Notamacropus eugenii: one gene and its partner. Each later gene encodes a partner of the first gene's protein in a complex. Links are inferred from orthologs where the notes say so. Each region holds a gene or a part of one and is shown in the gene's direction. Other genes may lie near its edges.

Region 1 (8,027 bases):
GAGTGCACAGAGTGAATTGAAGAGGATGGGATCATATCTTAAAAAAAAAATGAAATCAAGCAGTGAGAGAGAAATATATTGGTAGGAGAAATTGAGAAATTGAATGGGGCAAATTATCTCTCATAAAAGAGGCAAGCAAAAGACTTATTAGTAGAGGGATAAAGAGGGGAGGCAAGAGAAAAACATGAGGTCTACTCTCATCACATTCCACTAAAGGAAAGAATAAAATGCACACTCATTTTGATAGGAAAACCTATCTCATAATACAGGAGAGTGGGGGACAGGGGCACAAGCAGGGTGGGGGGGAGGATGGAGGGGAGGGCATGGGGAGGAGAATGTAATCCGAGGTCGACACTCACGGGGAGGGAAAGGATCATAAGAGAATAGAAGTAATGGGGGTCAGGATAGGATGGAGGGAAATATAATTAGTCCTGTACAACACAACTAGTATGGTAATCATTTGCAAAACTACACAGATTTGGCCTATATTGAATTGCTTGCCTTCCAAAGGGAAGGGGTGGGGAGGGAGGGAGCTAAAGAAGCTGGAACTCAAAGTGTTAGGATCAAATGTAATGTTCTTACCACTGGGAAATAAGAAATACAGGTTAAGGGGTCAAGAAAGCTATCTGGCCCTACAGGACAAAAGAGAAGACGGAGACAAGGGCAGGGAGGAAGGATAGAGGAGAGAGCAGATTGGTCACAGGGGCAATTAGAATGCTTGGGTTTGGGGGGGAGGGGATAAAAGGGGAGAAAATTTGTAACCCAAAATTTTGTGAAAATAAATGTTAAAATTTAAAAAAAAAAAAAAAGATTTGTATCTCTCAGACTACAGGCCAATTCACTTACAGTCCGCAGCAAACAGTGGATGACAGTTTATACTCACCCATCATCCCCTGGATGTGACCATTCTCAGTTCCAGTTAATGTTCTCCAGAGAGCCATCCAAGCAGGGTCAGCTCTACAACTGCTTTTCAGCCTGAAGAAACTCCTGAAGCAGAGACCTTCTTTTTTCCCAAATGAATTTGGGTCCCAGCTCTTGGAGGGGGGAATAATGGAGTCCTAGTAGAGCTGCCCCCAGCCCCAGTAGTCTAAATTCATTACAGGCCTGCTGTACCTACCTAGCCCCTGCCCTCACCAATGTCCTGACTTCATACATATGCCTCACTGCTCAGGCGTGTCCCTGAAACTCATAGTCCTCACAGAAACAGCAGGCATAGGAACCTAGCCACTGCCTCTACCCAGCCATGACCCCCAGACCCATTCCCACAGAAACAGGGGTGTTCTTGTGGTCAGTCACAATCACATCATCCATCTAGCCTAAGACAGGACCACAATACCTAATTATCTCTCTTGACCAGACAGGACCACAATAGCTGGCTAATTGGAAGGCAGCATGGCCAGAATGTTTAACCACCAAACCATAGATGGGACCCCTCCTCCATTACCTAATCCTTTAACAAGGTCCTCCTGCCTTTTAAATATTAATCAGATTCCTATATTCTATGTAAATTTCTGTTATGTAATGGTATCTTTACCCTATAAGAATCCATCTTGTTTTCTCTGAAGTTGCTGGTTCCTCTTGGAACTTAGCCTGCTTCATGAGAGGCATCAATCTCAATAAATGCCTATACTTGGATTGGAGGTGGTCTGACTGAATTCTTGAGACAGTTCCACCACAACACATCATGACACCTCAACAGTTTTTGGCATACCGGGGTTTCAACCTCAACACCAGTGCGACTCTAAAAGCATCCTTGACCTGTCTGGGCCTCGGTTTCTTTATCTGTAAAATGAAGAAAGTTGGACAAATCAATAAGCATTTACTTACTATTGTGTGACACTGGATAAGTCACTTTACCCTGTTTGCCTCAGTTTCCTCATCTGTAAAATAAGCTGGAAAAGGAAATGGCAAACCACTCCAGATACTTGGCCAAGAAAATTCACAATGGGGTCATACAGGACTGAAAATGATTGAAAGGGTGGGGGAGGATTTAGGGGATATGAGTTATATTTTGGACGTATTTCAAGATGTCTACTGGACATCTAATTTGAGATGTCTGAAAAGTAGTTGGAGATGGGAGACTTGAGGTTTGTAGACAGGTTAGGGCAGGATAGGTAGGTTTGATAATAATGTAGAAATATTATAAATGAGTTATTTTGAATTATTTGTTTATAATTACTATAAATAGCAATTGTTTCTGTTTCAACCAGAAACTCTGAGGATCTTGTCCTCCCAGATTGATTTTTTTTTTTTTGACCAGGTTAAAGAAGTCATTCTTTGCCTCATTTCTTACCTGGACTTAATCATTGAGTGGGTATTGCCTCAGTCAAACGGAGACCTGGGAAAAACCTTAGTTTAGAAAGACCAAGGTCTCCTAGTGCATCCAGGATCATCTCCAGTCATCCTCATCTATATCTTGCCACTGGACCCAGATGTCTCTGGAGGAGAAAGTGAGGCTGGTAGCTTTGCACAGCCCTCCCTCACTTTAACCCAATTCACTTGCAAGTCAAGACATTACCTTCCTGATTTCATGGTCCTCTTTGAGATAGAAGAACAAGCAACAAAAATAGAAATGATAATTAAATTCATGGGAGTTGAAGAGATTATCAATATAGAGGGACAAGGGAAGGGGGCCCAGGACAGGGTCCTGAGGGTCACCTTGGTTAGATGGTTAGTACCTTTCAGATCTACAACAAATGCTCCTATGGTGATGAAAAGAGAATCTGTGTTGACTTTTGAAAGAACAGGTTCTATAGAGTGATGGGGAATGGAGAAATCTTAGAGATGGAAGAACAGAGGCTGACTGGCCTAACCCTTAACTGTCCAACACTGCCTTGCTCATCTGATGTTTGTCCTTTCTTCTCGAAGAGGACCGTGACATCAGGAAAGGTGATGCCATGACATGCAAGTGAATTGGATTTAAGTGAGGGAGGGCTGTGCAAAGTCACCAGCCTCACTTTCTCCTCCACAGTCATCTGGGTCCAGTGGCCCAGCTATTCATTAGGACAAGTGGAGATCGCTCTGGATGCTCCAGGAGACCATGGCCTTTTTGAACTAAGGTCTTCCTAGGCCATGTTCAGCCAACCTCTGCTTGAAAGACTCCCATGATGGGGAATTGGCTATCTCATGAGAGGCAGTTCTTCTTTGGAATAGCTGTTATTGATAGGAATTTTTCAGTGCTGCTGTGTTCCTAATCATAACGATAATCATAATAGTGGCATTTAAGCAGCATAGTGGACAGAGCACTGTGTCTGAAGCAAGGAAACTTGAGTTCAAATCTGATCTCAGATTCTTACTAGCTGTGAGACTTTGGGTAAGTCACTTAACCTCTATTGCCTCAGTTTCCTTTATGGTAAAATGAAGACATTATATATTATATATAGTTACATATATAATACTATTATTATTATCATTATCCCCTACCTCCCAGGGTTGCAGTGATATCAGCTGAGATAATATTTGTAAAGAGCTTAGGGCAGCATCTGGTACACAGTATAAATATACTATGTAAATATATATTATATAATATATATTATATATAATATATATCATATATAGTATAAAAATATATACTATAAAAAATATAAATCCTAACTATTATGATGACTATATCCTCTCACCCCCCTGACAAATCTTCTGATTTTCCTGCTAAAGTCTAAGAAGTCAACAAGCATTGATTAAGTGTCTACTGTGTCCCAGGCACTGATCATGCATCCCTTTATTTAATCATTACATATTCTTCTGTCTTCTCGCCATCCCAGTCACTGCATTTGGGATACAGTCCAGCTTCTCTAAGCCAGAATGCAAAGGACTGTGAATACAGCAGGTAGCAGGGAAGTGCAGGTTTTGAGCACAAACAACTTTTTTTCCTAGAAATTTAAATGTAATGAATCAGGGAGAAAGGGGATAGTGAGAGCAGAATTAAGGGGAGAGGTTTTTTTCTGTCTTTTACAGTGCCTAACTAATACAGGAGTGTAGGTGCCCAGTGAATATTTATCAGTTAATAGACAATTAGTAAATACCTGTTGATTGACTGATTTCATTGACTTAGGGTTTACACCTAGATGGCACCACCCCTCCTTCCCCCCATGGGTGCGCTGACCTCTTGTGGTACTAGACTAAATTACAACATAGCCCCTGGATAACTGTCTCCTCAACTGAGTCTGAAACCTCTAAAAGGCCAAACTGGGTCCTCATTCTAATGGGTGTATTGAGGCCATGATCTCCTGGATATTTTGGTGAATCATGGGGAAAACTGAGGCCTGGTTGGGAGGAGGAGGCATGCAGCCAGTTGAGGGATCTTTGGAGGGAATACTTGGGATTTCTAGCAACTGAAGACTGCGCCTTGGCTCTCTCCCTTCAGGCAGTCCCACACCTTTTCTTTGTGCCACAAAAAGGAGAAAAAGTTATAAAAAAGAGGTATCTCTGAGTTTTCAGTTAAACATCAAAGCCCCCCACTCCTTCTGACCAGACAAGGAAGGAGTGCATGAAGAGGCTGGAGAATCTCAGATTGGTCGTTCTCCTCCCTTCCTCTCCTTCCTCCCCCCCATCCCCACCGCTCCCACAGCTGCAGTCTCCCCCACACAGGCTGGGGAAGGAGGGTGGGGGCGGGCAGGGAGGAGGAGTTGGGGACGGTGGGATCTGAGAGCCCCACGGTGCCAGGCGGTCAAAGGGAAAACGCCAACATTAGCTCAACCTCTCCGAAACCTTCTCCTTCAGACCCCCTCCTCAGTCATGTTGGGCACCTTAGGGTTTTGGATGCTTCTCCCTGCAGCTGTGCAGGGTAAGTATCTACAGGAATGGGTTGTTCAACTGGCTTTCTGGCTTTCAAAGCAGGTTACCCCTGAGACAGACTGGGTGGGGAGACATTTGAGATAATTGACTCGTTGACTCTTAGAGAGAGTTGAGTGAAGGCAAAGGGGGAGGGGGTCTTATTTTAGACAGCTGCTGACTTCCTGGCTTTTCCACCTTGATCCTGAGATGTGATATGAGTTTTCTCTTTGACTAGATGTTTGTCTGTCTGGGGTATAATCCCACCTTCCTTCTTCCCTGCCTTTATCTTGTTCTCAGCCCCACCAGGTCACCGGACTTGTCTTTTCTTTGAGGGTCCTGGGGTACAAGGCAGCACAAGGGCCCTGGGGGAGCTACTAGATGCAGGACCAGGGCCCCCCAGGAGTATCCGCTGCCTCTACAGCCACTGTTGCTTTGGAATATGGAATCTGACTCAGGATGGGGCTCAGCTGGAGATGCAGGGTGAGTGGCCAAGTAAGTTGGCAGGGATGTAAGGGGAGGAGAGGGCTGTTACAGAAATGAGACATGGGGAGGGCGAAGCTAGCTTCTCTGAGAGGAATGATAGCACATCTATAAGGGAAGAAAGGCCATTTCAGAGATTGAAGGGACACTTCCAAGAAAAAAGCAGGAGAAAGGTCCCCTAAAAGTGGGCTTTATCGCCTTCTGTCCCCTTCTCCTTCCCATCCCAAACAGGTTGCCGAGACAGTGATGAGCTGGGTTGTGAATCCCCCCGGTGTGAGCCAGCCCGCCGTGCCCACCCAAGCCCTGGCTCCACCCTCTTCACCTGCTCTTGTGGCACTGATCTCTGCAATGCTAATTACAGTCACCTGCCACCTCCAGAGATCTCAAGGACCCCCAACTCTCAGGGTCCCCAATCTCCACCTGGTAATCCCTACTCTGGAGCCCAAGTGTCTAGGCTGGAAAGCTAGGCTGGGGTTGTGTGTACAAGGCGGGGGAGAGTGGGGATTGGATTGTAACTGGGAGGAGGGCCATGCCCAGTTTTCCCTCTGTCCATATTCCTCCCAGTCCAAGCCTCCTACTCCCTCCTCCTGACCTTGGGATGTTTTTTACCCTGGTGACAAGAAGATAACAGGAAAAATTCTATGGAAGCAATGGGAAGGGGATAAAGAACCCAGAGCATGGGTTCCCAGGATCTATGTCTTTCTTCCCCAAGGGAAGGGGAGGCTGGGAATATTCTAGAGTATTCCCTTCCTCCAGTCCTAAATTTATTCTTTTTCTGTCCAGGGGAGTCCTTTCTGGTGGTGGTGTCTCTGCTGGGGCTGTTTCTCCTTCTTATGCTGGGCAGCAGCATCTTGGGTACAGACTTGACCCCTGTCACCCCTCTCCCCCCCAATGCCCTTTGGGCATCCTTCTGATGCTTTTTTGTATCACCCACATACACACAAACACCTCCCAGGTACTCTCTGGGCCCTTTGCCCCTCTGCCATGACCATGTCCTCTGTAGCATGGAGCCATGTCCTCTGACCTTTCTCTGCCCCCAGCCTCCGCTAGATAGTAGTCCCTATCATCCCTCTGTCCTCAGTAATCCTCAAGGCCTTTTTACTTCCTGCCCGTGGTCTTGGCCCATGACCTCCATTTCCTCCAATCCCTTCCCATTACCTCTCAAGAACCTTGTACCTCCCAAGCCCCTGGTTCTGTGCATGCTGGCCCCTTGCCTCCCTACCCTATGGCACCCCCACCACCACCTGTATCTCCAGCCCTTCGACAGTGGAAGGCTCTTAGGGCCTCGGGGGGCCAGGAACTAGACCCGGAACCAGGCAGCAGTTGGAGCCAGGAGTTGCCAGAGCTGGAGGAGTTATGCTTCTCTCAGGTCTCTGTTCCCCATGTCATGGTGGGGAAGTGGAGGGTGGAAGACAAAAATCCTAATGCCTCAATTCCAAGGATTGGGCCCTAGATCGTTCCTTTGCTGTGATAGATAGGTTGATGAGGGATGAGGGCAAGAAGCAATGAATAGGCTAGAAGCCCAAAGAAAAGGTGGTGAATCCAACCCCCTTAGCATATTGTCCCCTTTTGTTCAGATCCTACAAGAGGGAGGCCATACAGTGGTATGGGCAGGACACCTCCAAAGGGAGCCGGTGGCCATCAAAGCCTTCCCCCCTTGGGCGGCACCCCAATTCCAGGCAGAAAGGGCACTCTACGAGTTATCTGGCCTGCAGCATGACAACATAGTACGATTTATTGCCGCTGGCAGAGGCGGCCCCGGCCCCCAGCCTCCTGGACCCGTGCTGGTTCTTCAGTTGTACCCCAAGGTAAGAGTCTAGTGATGGAGGAATTGTGATAATGGAAGGCCGTCTGGGGCTCTCTGCTCCCATTTCTCTTGTCCTGTGACTTTCCCTCCATCCCCCATTGTCCCTTTCCACCAGTCTTGGTGTCTCCCCTTAATTCCCTCCATACCTGTCTATCCCTATATCTACCTTGCTTTCTCCTTATGGATAGTTAGCTAGCTGATGACTTGTTACTCATTGCCTTCCTGTCTGATTTTCTACCTCTTTTTCTACAGTCCCATACACTTTGATATTGTCATTCAGTCCTTCATGTGCAGCTCTTCATGAGCCCATGGACCAAAGCACGCCAATATTGTCCAAGAGTTTTTGTTTATTTTTTTTTTTTATTTTACAAAGATAGAGGCGTGTTTTGCTATTTCCTTCTCCAGCAGATTAAGGCAAACAGAGATTAAGTGATTTACCCAGAGTCACAGCTAGGAAGTGTCTGAGGCCAGATTTGAATTCAGGTCTTCCTGACTCCTGGCCTAGCACACTCCCCACTAAGCCAACTACCTGCCTCAAACACTTAGTAGGCACTAAATAATTGAATTTCATTTGAAGCTATCTGTCTTCTTCCAATGTATCTAACTTCATCACGGTTTCTATATATAGTGAACTGGCATAAGAAATTAAATGGGAATTTTGGGGTTTTGCAGAAGCCACAGATGATACACGAAGGGCAGCAGACAACATGCAAAAAAAGTTTAGAAACTCAGAAATGCATAAAATGTATGCATAATATTGTATAATAGCAACACCCCACAAAAGAAAAAAGAAAAAACTCAGACTTCTCTGGTACGAAAGGAGGGCCAAAAAACTTTTACCGAGGAGGGGGGTGCTGCACTCCTGACCCCTGCAATGTGGAAGGGATCACTGTAATGATGTTTCCCAAGGCTCATGTGTTTTTCTCTTTCCTCTAGGGCTCTCTCCGCCACTACCTGGCCCACCATA
Region 2 (7,954 bases), on another chromosome or scaffold:
TTAAGTGACTTGCCCAGGTTCACACAGCTCGTAAGTGTCTGAAGCCAGATTTGAACTCAGGAAGATGAGTTTTCCTGACTCCAGGTCTGGTGCTCTCTGCACTGTGTTGCCTAACTGCCCTTCCAGTCTAAAGCCTGCTCTGAAAAAATTATTTGTCTTCATTTGCCCAAATTCATCACACGACTGTTTCCACCTACATACAGGCACAGAAAAAGAAGAATGCCTATCAAGCTATAAATCTCCCTTCCATAAGGTTTCATTTCTTTTCAAAGTTATGTAATAAACTCAACAGTTCCAAAGTTGTTCTGCTTATCTGACCTTTTCCTGTTCTCTGCACATTTTTAAAATGTTGCAATGGCCCTCTTTTATTTCCTCTTTTCTTTTTTATATCACCCTCACTAGTCCCTCCTTCCCAAACCCGCTCACCAAGAGGCATAGTTAGGCAGAACAAACCCATGCAGTGGGGACATGACCCATTTCTGAAGCCATGTTGGTTCTTAGTAATCAGTGCTTCCCTGAGAAACCATCTTAATATGCTCCAGAACATTAGCAGGAGTAAAAATTAGGTTTGCTGATTTTACCCTTTGAAAATTAAGATGTCTTGCCATAGTACTTTTTGTTCCCCAGGATCTTATAATCACTGACAGTGACTCAGCTGTCGTATCTGCCTTTTTTAATATTCTATGTGTAGGCAGTTTTGGTGGCAAATTGAGTTCCCCACATGTCCCTATCAGTAACTTCAAGCATCTTTTTGTTTTGTTTATGGGGTTGGTTGTTGTGTGCAGTGGCTAGAGCACTGGGCCTAGAGTGAGGAAGACCTGAGTTCAGATTTTACTTCAGACAACTTAGTAGTTTTGTGATGCAAGGCAGGTCACTTAACTTGTTTGCCTCAGTTTCCTCATCTATAAAATGGGAAAAATAGTACCTCATCCCGGTGTTTTAAGGATTAAATAGTCCTTTAAAGTACTTAGCATAATGCCTCATACAGAGGAAGGGCTATATTAATGTTAACAATTATTCATCCTTACTGGAACCATTTATTGTAGTCAAGAATCTCATGCTTGAGAGCTTCCATTCTTGAGCTGATTCCCCCTTGCAATCAATCGTACCATCAGATCCTACCTGTCCTTTCCCTCAACTCTTTGAAATTTGATGTACCACCTAAAATGCCTGTCAGAGTGACGTGCACTTAGAGGTTGCACCCTCTCGCCCCTTTTCACAAGTTCAGTGACCAAGTGGTCATTGGCCCTCAGAGTTCTTGTCATTTCTATTTTAGAAACAAACCCTGCCTTGTTAGAATAAGGTGCAGAACAGCAGTTATCTCCCAGAATTGTGCCTGCCACCTTCTGAAGGATGAAATGGTCCCAATTGTGTCACACACTGCTCTGCATCTGAAGAGAACTCCACAGAGATCCAGGTAGTTGAAATCTGCAGTCATTATAATACAGTGCTTCCCTTCCTCATTCGTATCCATTTTCTTTTATTAAATTTTATTTTCAGTTCTGACTGTCTTCTTCCTCCTCAGTCCCCCACATATTGAGAAGACAAGAGAAAAAAAAACCATTATAAATATGTATAGACATGCAAGATAAATTCCTGAATTAACTGTATGTCCCCGAAGAAGAAAATGCACTTGTCTGTGCTCGAGTCCATCAGCTCAGTCTGCTGGCTGATAGCATATTCCATTAGGAGGCCTTGGGAATTGCTGGTCATTGGAATAATCGGAATCTTAAGAGTCTTCAAAGTTTATTACACCTTTGTTTCTAAGGAGTTGTTTCTCTGCTCACTTCATTTTGCATCATTTCATACAAGTTTTTTTTAAACTATCTTTTTCATTTTTTACCAGCACAATAGTATTTGATTGCATTCATATACCACAGCTCACTCAACCATCCCCAGTTGTTGAGCATCCCCTCAGTTTCTAGTTGTTGATAACATAAAAAGCTGTTACAAATGCTCTTGTACACGTGCATCCTTTCCCATTTTCTTTTATCTCTTTGGGGCACAGACCTAGTAGAGGAATTGCTGGGTCAGAGTGTGTTCAGTTTAATAACCTTTTCTGGCATAGTTCCAAATGCCTGACTAGCTCACAGCGCAAGTGCATTAGTGCACCTGTTTTCCTGCATCCCTCGCAGCATTTGTCATCTTCCTTTTTTATCATCTTAGTCAATCCGATGAGTGTGAAGAGATATCTTAGAGTTCTTTTAATCTCCATTTCTCTGTGAGAAATAGAATATTTTTTATGTAGCCATTGATAATTTTGATCTATTCCTTTGAAAAACCACCCATTCATAACCTTTGACAGTTTATCAGTTGGAGAATGGTTCTTGTAAATTTATCTACTTTCCCCCTATCTTGTTTGGCCATGAACTCTTCCTCTATCCATAGATCTGACTGGTCATGTTTTCCATCCTCCGCCTTTTATGTCTGGATCATTTTGAGTTTACCTTAGTATACAGTATGAGATGTTAGTCTATATGTAGTTCCTCCATACTACTTTCCAGTTTTCCTCATATTTTTTGTTGAATAATGAGTTCATGCCCCAGTAGCTGAGATCTTTGGGTTTATCGAAAACAAGGTTACTGTGCTCATTTGCTTCTGTATATTGTGCACTTTTGTATCTTCTTTCCAATTTAATTTCTTCCCTCACCCCTATCCCAGTTGATCCAGTTGGTCTGTAGTATATATCATCACCATATTGTTCCTTTTCCCCCCTCTCGTTAATCCTCGTTAATCCATGGTTCTCCACCATGTTTCCTATCTTGGGCTCCTAGATTTATTCACAGAAACATCTATTTTTCTTTACTTTTTCCTCTCCTTCCCCTTTCTTTCTGCAGTTGGGGTTAAGTGACTTGCCCAGGGTCACAAAGCTGGTAGATGTCTAAAGCTGGATTTGAACTCGCTCTTAAGTTTGGTGCTCTATCTACTGTGCCACCTAACTGCCCCTAACATACCCTTTTGATTAGTGATGTTACTCCAGCCCCATCCAGTCCCCTTTTAAATCTGCTTTGTGTCTTTTCAGCAAAAGATACTATAATTTAGTCCTATCCCACCACATTTCAGAATATTGAATTTGTTTCTGTACGTCAGGGTTTCTGAGTTCATTTTCCTTACCACCCATGTCATTCATTGGCCCTTCTATGCCCCCTTTTTCTCTGTAAGTTATGAGGTGACCTTGAAGATTCTTTTCAGCACTAGCATTTGTTAAGTTCTCCAGTATATGACTTGTGTCATGTTTTAGCACTTAGCTGCCTTCATCACCTACACTCTACAACATACCACCATTGTTCTTGCTTTTTAAAAAAGTTATAAAATGTATATATCCTAGGGGCAGCTAGGTGGCGCCATAGTGCATAGAACTCCAGGCCTGAAGTCAGAAAGACTTCCTGAGTTCAAATTCAGCTGTGTGACCCTGGCCAAGTCAGTCTTTGCCTCAGTTTCCTCATCTGCAAAATGAGCTGGAGAAGATGGCAAATGGCTCCAGTATCTGCCAAAAGAACCCTAAATGGGGCCATGAAGAGTCAGATACAACTGAAACAACTGAACAACAGAAGTACATCTTGTGTCGTAAATGTTAGCATTTGGTTGCATTCAATGTCTACGCCATTGTCACCACCATCCTTATTACCCACTTTACCCCTAGGCACTGCTTAGCCCTGTGTCACTCATCATGATGGCGGCACCTTTGTGAACTAAGACCGCAGCTCCGAGCAGCCCTACCTTGATCGATGGATAGTCAGTGACTCACAAAAGCAGCGTGGGCTCTTGGGATTTCTGGTTTCCCAAAGCAATCTAAAAGGATGCAGTGGTTTGGTTATTAGAGGGAGCAGGTTCAAATCCCATCTTGGATGCCCACTCCCTGCGTGGCTTCAGGCCCCATGAAATGAGAGGTTGGACCAGAATCCCCGGCTTTGATCCTGCCTTCTACAGAAGGCCTTTCTATGACCCATTCTTTCCTCCTCCCATTTGTACTATGTGCACCTGGTATGGGGCACTCTCATTACAGTGAGGCAACTTATTCTTGGGTACCCCTAGGGCCTTGCATGGTGCCTACCATAGAGCATACCCAATTAATGTACAATGGCTGACCGGGTTCACAAATCTAGAGCTTGAAGTAGCCCACTTTTTATGGATGAGGACACAGGCCCAGGGAGAGTGAGTGACTCACCCTTGGTCATCTCGGTTGTGAGCGTCTGAGGCGACTGGACACCCCTGTCTCTGACCCAAGAGCCAGTACTTCTCTCCCTGCCACAAAGCTGTTGGTTTGTCTTTAAGGCCTCTTCCAGCTCTCTTGTTTCTCCATTAACTGTCCCTAGGAGAGGTTGAAAAAAGCCGATTGCCCAGCTTGTCCAAAGCAAGGCTTCTAGCTATTTTGTGTCCCTTGTACACCCATAGTTGGCCTTTGGTGAGAACTGACCAATGCACACAGCCCAGGGATAAGGCTCTAGCTTCCTAGTCCCCAGTGGAGTTCCACAGAGACCAGGTCACCAGGATTTGCCCCCTACACACCTTTCCTTCCTCCAGTCCCTCTGCCATGGGTGCAGCTGCCTCCTCCCCACACTGTCTGTCCCCCAGTCTTTCTAAACTGTACACTCCCAGCTCAGATTCTCACTCACATTTCTTAAAAAATCAGTCAAGGACAGTATTTTGACAAATCTGGTCAACAGCTTGAAATTCATATCACTTGTAAGAAGCAAGATACCCAGCCAAAAATAGAACAGAAAGAACCCTTTGAAAGGGCCTCCCCTCACTTTTACACTGTTGGTCTCCAGGGTCCCAAAGGATGTGCTCTGCATTGTCAATTCAAGGTCACCTCCGTTGGGAAGAGATAATCATCCTTCCCTCCCTCATAAACAGTCTGGAGAAGGCATTTCTGCCACCTTAGTCTCATAAAAGCCCCAGTTAGCCAAAGGCTCGGTCACAGTCAGCCCAAGATGAAGGGCTCACTTGTGGGTTTGCTCCTGCTCCTGTCAGTGATGTTTGCTGTGCTGAGGGGAGAGACCCCCATGAAGGAGCAATCAGATGCCAACACCAAACTACTACCAACTCTGTCCAAGAGCCTGGCGGCCCAGGACCAGAGGAGGGAGAGGTCAGACAAGCTGCCGGGGCTTCCTGATTCAGATGGATCTTCATCCTTAAGGAGCCAAAAGACCCCTGGGAGTGAAGTCCACCTCCCTTGGCCCTCATTTGCCTCGGACAGTGGCACTTCAGATCTATGGACTGGGCCCAAGTCCCATCCTTGGCCCCTGGGAGGCCTAAAAAACCCAGTGTGCTGGGTGAAAGTAGGCAGGGGTGGGGATGGGGCCTCAGATCCCCTCCAGGTGGTGGGGGCTCTGCGTGGTTATGAGAGGGGCTTTGTGGAAGCACTGAGACAGGCCCGCTGGGACAAGCAGGACCTGGCCACCTTTGGGATCTGCCCCCCAGGGGGCACAGGAGTTGCTCACCTCTCTCTGCAGCATTTGGGGGAACGACTGGTGGAGCCAGGCGGGCAGAGTCTCGTGGTTCTACATCTAGAAGAAGGTAGGTGTGCCATGTGCAAGCATGTCCTTAGGGGCAAGGCTGGAGGACATTTTAGGCGTGGTGGGGAGTGATCCCTAGTCTGCAACCAGCCTCGGAGGCTCCTTCTAAAAAGCATTTTGTATTCTTAGGTCCTAGTGAAGGGGGTGATCCAGGATACTTGGATCCCAGAAAGAGGAATAGCAGTCTCTTACAGCTTAGAGGGTTCTTCTAGCTAGTGGCAGTGGTGTTCTCTTGGTTCTCTGGTCTAGAGAATGCTTGGGATTTGGAATCAGAGGACTCGGGTTTGATTCTGGTTCTAGTATGTCTGCTGCCCCTTTCTGGGCCTGTTTCATCTTCATCCTTTGTATTTAAAAAAAAACAAAAACAGTAGGGGATGAGACTAGCCCCACATCCTATGAACTAGCGATTCATGGTTGACTTTGTTCATTGTCTACGAGAGCCAAGGGATCTCCAAGTTTCTAAGACTCCGGGCTTTAGAATGGATTTAACAGGCCTTGGGTGGGTGGGGCAGGGAGGATAGCTAGAGTTAAGTTCTGGGCTCCAAGCCCAACATGTAGCATGCCAGGGCAGCCTGCCCAGGGAGTTGACCAGCTAGACTTTGTCCAGGGCTGGTCTAGGGCTGATCTCTCTTCCTCAGTAAACCCCAGATATTGTCTTTGAGGGCAAGGGCTAGATTCTTTTTGGTTTTGTTTTTATATTTTATTTCTTTTCAGTGTTTTACAATCACTACCATATAACTTAGATTATTTTTCTCCTCCCTCCCCAAGACAGCATACAATTTTATATAGGTTCTATACATACATTCCTATTAAATACATTTTCACTATAGTCATGTTGTGTAGTAGAATTGAAGTGAGTGGGAAAAATTATATAACAAACCAAAATGTAATACAAAAGAAAATGATCTGCTACAAACTGCAATTGAATCCCAAAGTTCTTTCTCTGGGGATGGAAGACATTTTGCCTTAAAAGACCATTGGGAATTTTTTTTAAGTGCAAGGGCTAGATTCTTAACCTGAAGTCTGTGGATAGATTTCAGTGAACTGTGAACTTAGATGGAGGGGGGAAAATGACATCTTTATTTTTGCTCACCTCTAAATGAAATTTAATATAAAGAAAACATTCTCAGGAGGGGTTCATAGGCTTTACCATGCTGCCTGAGTAAGCAGGCCAATTTTAAGGATGCTGCAAGGGGAGGCAAGCCCCCATACAGCCTGGGCTCTGGACAGTAACCCTGGGCTAGTTTAGCAGAGGAAGGAGACTGGTTTGTCTAAGATCGTGGAAACACTAGCTGAGTTATGAGGTTCAAGTCAGGCTCCACATTCTGAAACTGGGAGCAGGCTCTCCCAGCCCTATACAAAGTCACCATTCTGAATGGTGAGGTCCCAGGGAACTTTTGTGTCTTCTCTGCTCTCAGTTCTAGCCTTTCCAGAACTGGAAAGGAGCTCAGAGGCCCCTTAGTTCACTCCTTTCTCGAGGAAGCTGAAGCCCCCAGAGGAAAGAGACCTGTGCTCTTAGAAAAGACCCAGATAATAAATACAAAATGGAGAAGGGAATGACACCTGCAATTTCATTGACAGGTGATATTCTCATCCTTTGCCAAAACACATTGGCACCATCTCTGCAACTTGTCTGTGAGTGACTTGCTCAGGGTGTCACAGTCACTGGGTGGGACTTAAACCTGGGTCTTCCTGGTTCTGAGGCATGCTTGCTGTCCACAAGACCATGCTCAGTACAGCAGAATGTGGTGTTTTTTTAACCCCCTGGACTGGGCGTTAGCATTTGTGCCCAGCCCTAACCCCTTCCCCAGTACCACGTGGGTGGCCTGGATGAATGGTAGAGAGGGGGCTTTGGGTAAATCCACAAAGCAGGTAATTGAAGGCTGGGTCTTTTATCTGGTCCTTACAATTGTGGTTTGGGATTTGTTTGTTGTTTTAGGGGCAACAGATCTGTGACAGGACAGAATTTTTTAAAAAATTAAATATATAATTTATTTTCACTTTACAACATTCACTTCCACAAGATTTTGAACTCCAAATATTGTCCCCATCTCTCCCCACCCCCTACACCAAGACAACATGCACCCCATCCACCCCTTCCCCCCAATCTGCGGGACAAAATTTTTATCCCCATGGTTTAAATACAGACTTTAAAACTCAGGTCTACTGATTTGTCCAAGGTCACTAGTAAATATGAGACAAACCCAAGTCCAAGACTTTACCCCCTGAGCCTCTCTGGAGCTGGGAGGTGGGAAGTGAGGTGAGGGATGGGGCTGCCTGGTCTTCAAAGGCCAGGAGACCCTTCATCTTCTGTCTAGTGATCCCCGAGGTCTGCTCTAGGGCATGCACTGGGGAGGGAGGAGAAGGGAAGAGACCTTTCTTCCCCCCACCCTCCAGCCAATGTCATCAGTTCTATGTGCTGGGACACATTCCTG

The links.
Region 2: the proteins of AMHR2 (region 1) and AMH are in contact, whole or in part, in a crystal structure (PDB 7L0J), measured with the Homo sapiens proteins. The link is inferred for Notamacropus eugenii from reciprocal best matches to the Homo sapiens genes AMHR2 and AMH. Residues at the interface, in NP_065434.1 of Homo sapiens: Gly31, Val32, Arg33, Gly34, Ser35, Thr36, Thr38, Leu39, Phe62, Ile64, Glu75, Met76, Arg80, Asp81, Ser82, Glu84, Pro85, Ser95, Arg97, Ala98, Pro100, Ser101, Leu106, Thr108; in NP_000470.3 of Homo sapiens: Leu471, Arg472, Glu474, Val477, Leu478, Ile479, Pro480, Glu481, Thr482, Tyr483, Gln484, Lys534, Leu535, Ile537, Leu539, Glu542, Arg543, Ile544, Ser545, Ala546.

Annotation. Positions count from the first base shown.
Region 1 is NC_092874.1:226,406,140-226,414,166, forward strand, and holds the start of AMHR2 (anti-Muellerian hormone type-2 receptor), read left to right. Parts: upstream 1-4,627; 5' UTR 4,628-4,734; coding exon 4,735-4,783; intron 4,784-5,070; coding exon 5,071-5,253; intron 5,254-5,484; coding exon 5,485-5,676; intron 5,677-6,036; coding exon 6,037-6,108; intron 6,109-6,509; coding exon 6,510-6,622; intron 6,623-6,830; coding exon 6,831-7,061; intron 7,062-7,996; coding exon 7,997-8,027. UniProt on the Homo sapiens protein: On ligand binding, forms a receptor complex consisting of two type II and two type I transmembrane serine/threonine kinases.
Region 2 is NC_092875.1:64,058,293-64,066,246, reverse strand, and holds the start of AMH (muellerian-inhibiting factor), read left to right. Parts: upstream 1-4,645; 5' UTR 4,646-4,934; coding exon 4,935-5,520; intron 5,521-7,485; exon of another isoform or gene 7,486-7,954. UniProt on the Homo sapiens protein: Plays an important role in several reproductive functions. Induces Muellerian duct regression during male fetal sexual differentiation. Also plays a role in Leydig cell differentiation and function.